Regions from separate parts of the Mus musculus genome. Here region 1 is reported to be linked to region 2. Evidence: microRNA targets listed by miRTarBase, many of them from high-throughput screens and not tested one by one. Region 2 holds a microRNA gene; the other region holds the end of a gene's coding sequence.

Region 1 (3,158 bases), not on the chromosome of region 2:
CTTTGGTGATGCCTCTCAAAGTCATGCCAGAGTCGAACAGAAAAATGCTATACTTCCGGACAAAACTTAATGATAGTTTCTAAGACTGACCTGATGAAAAGCTGTCACAAACCAAAAACTGAAGCATTTCGCAGTTTCCTCTGCTTTGAGGGTATGTGGTTAAGTGCATTGAGTCAGGTTGAGGCCCATCTTGGTCTATGAATGTGGCTTTTGCCAAGAATCATCACCCACAGTGCTGGTGGCAGATGTGTTCATGCTATAAACCAGCATGAGTCCCCTTGCCCTTTGGGAACACAAGTGACAGAGTTCCCTTCCCATCTCCATGTCCACATAACTCAGCGCACTGTGGGGCCTGCAAGGAGAACCTGTAAGAGTCCAGGAATGGGGACACTTCTTTGTGTGCTATTTGTACCTCCAGGTAATCCTATAATCCACCACCTGGAACTGCCCAAGGCATCAAGGACACCTCACACCCTGAAAACCTGCCCCTGCTCTAATGGCTCTCCTGGAAAATGAGCTTTTACCATGTGTCTAAACTTCTCCAAAGTGAATCAACTCAGAAAACAGGGAGGAGATCGATTGGGAGTTTTAAAAAAATGGGCTTCTAGAGTCAAGTGCGGTGGTGCATGCCTTTGATCCTAGCATTTAGGAAGCTAGGTGGATCTCTGTGAGTTTGGGACCAGCCTGGTCTGCTTAGCTGGTTCTGGGCCAGTCAGAGCTCCATGCGCTTCTCTCTCTCTCTCTCTCTCTCTCTCTCTCTCTCTCTCTCTCTCTCTCTCTGTTCTTTCTTATAAAAGTCAATATTTAATTGTTGGCAGGAAGCCCAGCAACACCCATTGTGCTGGAGGAGCTGAGAGTTCTACATCTTCATCCAAAGGAAGCCAGGAGCAGACTCGAGCTTTACTCAACACACACAACACACCCCACACACAGAGAGAGAGAGACAGAGGGGAGATAGAAAGGGGAGAGAGAGAGAGCGAGAGCGAGAGAGAGAGAGATTGATTGATTGATTCTTGTTAAGAACAATACAAAATTACCCACCAATCCAGGACTGATCCCTGTATTTATAATACAGCCATTGCTCTGAGAACCACAACAGAAGAGAGAAGTTTCTGGACAGTGAGGCCAGGTTTCTCAGTGCTAGAGTTTACAACAGGGTCATAGCTACTCAAACCTCTAAGCACCACTTACTTGGCTTATACCCTCCTACTTAGAAAATGATGTTATAGAGCCACAAAGGAGACAAGAAGTGTACAAATCTTCCTAGGAAGCTTGAAATGGAAAAGTCTGACCACCAGGACCAGTCAGACAAACCTGGGATGTAGAGCTAGCTCTAATCTTTACTCTTTCTAAAAGTCTGTGCTATGAAGTAAGAGAAGGAAGACAGGAAAGAGAACACCTGAGAGATGATTTTATATTGAAAACACTAAAGCACAAAAAAAGGCAATAGGTGAGCTAGATTGAAAAGAATTATATAAAGTGATCTGGAAATAAAGAAATTTGAATATAGACAATATGGAATTGTTTGCTTTCCCGGTATAAAACTGCTAGTGTAATTATTTAGGAAAACGTGTTTATTCTTGAGGGATAGCAAGCGAAATTCTAGAAATTAGGACTGAAGTGTTGCTATGTGTTCTCCAGATATTTATGTATCCTTAAATCCATATGTTGGCATTTGGAGATGGGGCATTGAGTGTAGTTGGTGTTAAACTAGGCTACATGGGTGTGGTCTCCCGGATGCTAGTGGCTTTATAAGAAAAGGAAGAGGATTCTCGTCATATGCAGCTGTCACACTAAGGCCCAGTGAGAAGGTCTTCACTAGATGCTAACCAGATATAAGTGCCAAGGTCTTAGGTGTTCTCACCTCAGGAACCTGAACTAAATAAAGTTGCATTCTTTAGGGGTTACTTAATCATAAATGTTCTTTTAATAACAAGAAATGGATTAAGATATAGGTCATGTTGTTTGCAACTTTTCAAATGATTTAGTGAAGAAGTTCTTATATGTATGTACACACACACACACACACACAGAGAAAGAGACAGAGACACACAGAGAGATTAATAGTGACTAATAATGTAGGTGGCAGGTATGTATATAGCCCATGTTCCATTCTTTCAACTCCTCTGTAGAGCTGGAAAACTTGAATAAAAAAAAGTTGGAGGAATTCTATATAGTTAGAATTTATATATAAAGATGGATTTTATATAGTTTTTAAGTTAACTATATTGGTTACTTGTGCACAGTTTTGTTTGTTTTGCTTTTGGTGCTGGGATTGAACCTACATGTACAACCCAAGTGCTTACATCCTTAGCTGCAGTTATTCATTAACAAAACAAAACGAAATGAAACAAGACAAAGCATTAGGTGTCAATAAGGAAGATTCAGCTGAGAAATTTATAACCAGATATGGGCCAGTTCACTTGAGGAGTTCACTGTAGGTTCACATGTCTGTTCTAACGAGAGGCTTCGTGCCTGTGTGTTCCACGTGTTCTGTGCTTTCTCGTAGTGTGCCCTTTTCTGTCCTTCCTGCTGGGTTGTTTTTTCCCAGAACATACGTTTTCTCTGCCATTCTTCTTTACCTCTGAGGCTCTCATCCACTGCTTCAAAGTACGATTGTGCGGGCTGATGCAGATTCTTCTACGTTTAACATGAAGGCTGCCAAGAAAGCGGGAAAAAACGAATCTTTACAGAAATTACAAATATAAGCCAGGTGTGGTGACACGCAACTTTAATCCCAGCACTGGGAAGGCAGAGGCAGGGGGATCTCTAGATACAGGCCACACTGGTCTACAGTGACTTCCAGGACAGCCAGGGCTACATAGAGAAATCCTGCCTGTGACAAGAAAAACAAAAGAATTACAAATACATAAAAGAACTAGTGACTTGTGAGTAGCCCCCACCTTGTGGACATTGCATTTGTAGTGACTTCAAATTGAACACCAAGAGGATAAATTCTTATTTTATAGACATTGTTTCCATTGTCTTCAGATGTCTTCGGAAAGTATTAAACTGAGGACCAGGGAAGGGTAAGTTGGATGAAGAGGAAGAGAACGGGAAAGAGAAGAGAAGGGGGAAAAAGAGAAACAAAGGGAGAAAAGAAAACCAGTAACAGACCCAGGTAAAGTCGTTCACTTCCATGTTTAAACTTCATCCAA
Region 2 (3,000 bases):
GCTCTTCTGAGATGCCAGTATCAGGAAGCAGTAAAGAGACAGCACAACTAAATGTAACACACATTCTGGCCTAACTAATCTGGGGTTTTTGTTGCCCTTAAGGATACTTCTAAGCAGTTCTGGAGAACCTGAGAGAGCCGATAGGTCAGGAAATGTACTGAAAGGACATTCATTTACTGACTTTGATAGTTACAGTGTGATTATGTAGAACAACATTTTCTTTCATTTCTTTTTCTTTTTAAAACTGAGATAGAATATGGCCTGGAACGCCTGCGTAGTCCAACTGGCCTCAAAACCCCGAGTGCAGGTATTACAGGGTACAGCACCATACTTGGCATGTTTTTATCTTGTTGTTGTTGGTCTTGTTTTTAAATATATGACATAAACAAGTATTATCACAAGATCCTCATGGATTACGGCTGGCTAGAGTACTGGTTAGCTCACCTGGTTCCTGTCCCGAGCATTTGTGTACCTGATCTTCTGAATGAAGTAGAATATGAGCCACGCTGAAGAAATAATCATCAAAACAATAAAGGAGATTGACACGAAGACTAGAGAGCCACGGCTGAAGTTCTTTGGCGGCATTCGAGTTCCAACAGCTATTGTCATTTGTACAGAGATGTTTTTCTCCAGATAACTCAAAATATCCTTACCCCTCAATTCTGTTATCATGACAGCAATAATATCTCCCGTGCCTGTAATGTAAAACAAATACACAGACTAAAGTGACATCTGAAATTCATAGACACATCAAATAAATATACACATATGCTCCATAGAGAAATTACCATAATTTTCACTAAGGTTTATAGATTCCAGTTCAACTGACATGAGGCTGCAGCTGTGTAAACTGACAGGCATGAGAACATGTACAGTGCTCCAAACAGGTAACGCATAAAGCAACTGTGGTGTTAACAATGCACAAACTGCCTTACCGGTGCATTAGAAGCACTGTGAAAGCAGCCACCTGTGACTAAATCAGGTTAAGTCTTCAGTAGAAAACCTTTCTATAGCAATCAATCTGGAAAGTTCTGACAGAGAAGCACTGTCATTTACAGTCTGAACAGGTGGTCCTTGCACTACTCATCCTCACACGCACTGCTGAGCAAGGACTGCTCTAAGAAACAGAAAGAAGGGTACTTCTTAGGGCACACACTTGGCTATGGAGTGACAAGTGCCGAACGGCAACATCTTTTACCAACAACCTTTGAAACTAACTTTGGTCTTCTGTCTACAGTAAAGCTCCTTCCAGGGCACTTCTGGAGCTCAAACGCAACAATTTTCCCACCCAGTTTGGAGCCAGCATCTCACATTGCCTCGGCTAGCCTCAGACTTGAGTTTTATGTTAGTTTTCCACCTTGTTTAACCATGCCCAGCGCACTCAAATCCTCTAGGCAGGCCCAAGTTTCAACTTTCTGGACTACTACCCATAATGATACCTAAAACCTTCAGTTCCTAAAAGCTGTTCAGAGTTCTGCCCACAGGCACAACTTTTATAAGTTAATTACAAGGATGGTTCAGTTGTGTTTTCAAGTCCTTTTCTCACATGGCTTCAAGGGCCTGTTTTAAGTCAGAGTGAGCAGCTACTCACCAAGGTCACTTTTGTGAGTATGAAGGAGGATTGTGCATCCAAACACAAAATACCCTCTCAAAACAGCAAGCAGAGACCCCAGACCTGACCTTTTGAAGGCTCTGTCAACAAATATTAGAAACACTTGTTTTGATTTCTTGTTACCTTTAGCAGTCAAGATGAGACACAACAGAAACTCAGTAACAGAAGTTTTGAAAAAAATATAGCTCAATGGAATATATATTTGCATAATACTGTATTCAAAACGGTTTATTCACTTTATTAGAGTAGTAGTTTACCAGTTTATTTTTGCTTAAAAAATCTATAAACAAAAAGGAGACAACAAAATTAAAACTAGCATTATTAAGTTAACATCTGCCTCTGGTGAGTGAGTTAAAAAGAATCATAAAAGAATGCTAAACCAGTTTAAATTTCCATTTAGAAACCTTAAGTTTGTGCTTTTACAATGTTGATCAACAGGCATGATCTGTGGTGTTAAGATACCAGGTATGGCTATAAAGTAACTGAGACGGATCCCACAAACGACATATGACAATCAGTCTCATTGCTTTATAATCACACCAAGTACAATTGGTTTTAGAAATCAGTTCTGAGGCTCCCTCTTGAAGACTCAAGCTGGAAGTGGGGAGAGCTGCACAGGTAGCCAAGGCAACCAATCCAGTAATTTCCTTAACCGAACACTAAATGGGCGCGTCAACTAATCTCAACAGGAAGCTGTTTGGGAAAGAAAAATTTAATTAGTTCAACACTTGTCAATATTCACTGTTAGGAGGACAAGAGTGAATAGATCTCACTGTAGCTTTATCATCCTAGCAAAAAGAGGAGACTGGGCAATGTTGCCAAAGGAGACTGAAAATGATCAAATAAAAAAGTACAGCAGCACATCTGATATTAGTGAAGGCAGTGATCTCTTACAGAAGGTGATGAAGCAAACTACAAACCCTCCTAGGAAAAAAGTTTCTTTCTCCCCAACATCTAGAGCTGGGCTGGGTTCAAAGAGCCTAACAAGATGGCTCAGACATTTACAAATGGGGATGGGACTAAAGAGATGGCTAAGAGCACTGGTTGATCTTGCAGAGGACGAGGTTTGGTTCCCAGCATCAATATGGCAGCTCATAACTACTGTAACTCCAATTCTAGAGGGAACAGACACTCTCTTCTGGCCTTCGAGGGCTCTGTACACATGGTGCACATAGACTCATGCAGGTATACACACACACACACACACACACACACACACAATAAAAAAGTAAATAAACCTTAAAAACAAAACAAAAAACTCTTGGGAGAGTTGGTGCAGATTCAGGAGGGATGATGACAACAGAGGAAACTTAACCCTCAGGATAAAACTAGGATTAGAGTAGCAGTAGCTGGTAGGAGAGAGGGGTTAATTAGACTGAAGTAATGGA

Evidence for each region. The annotated mature microRNA mmu-miR-340-5p reads UUAUAAAGCAAUGAGACUGAUU and lies in region 2 at 2,125-2,146, opposite strand. An mRNA with a match to its seed (bases 2 to 7 or 8) in the 3' UTR can be bound and repressed. Matches are read on the target gene's strand: a 7mer-m8 pairs with bases 2 to 8, a 7mer-A1 pairs with bases 2 to 7 and ends in A, and an 8mer does both.
Region 1: miRTarBase lists Ccl28 as a target of mmu-miR-340-5p. Seed matches in the 3' UTR shown: 7mer-m8 at 2,190-2,196, 7mer-m8 at 1,474-1,480 and 7mer-A1 at 789-795.

Annotation. Positions count from the first base shown.
Region 1 is chr13:119,650,365-119,653,522 of GRCm38, reverse strand. Ccl28 (chemokine (C-C motif) ligand 28) reads right to left here. Exons shown (of 3, transcript NM_020279.3): 3 at 1-2,658. The coding sequence ends at 2,457. Among named protein-coding and RNA genes, the nearest start is that of 1700074H08Rik, 28 kb to the left of the region's middle.
Region 2 is chr11:50,068,866-50,071,865 of GRCm38, reverse strand. It overlaps Mir340 (microRNA 340), which reads right to left and starts at 2,164; the gene lies at 2,067-2,164. It overlaps Rnf130 (ring finger protein 130), which reads right to left. Exons shown (of 9, transcript NM_021540.4): 3 at 445-695.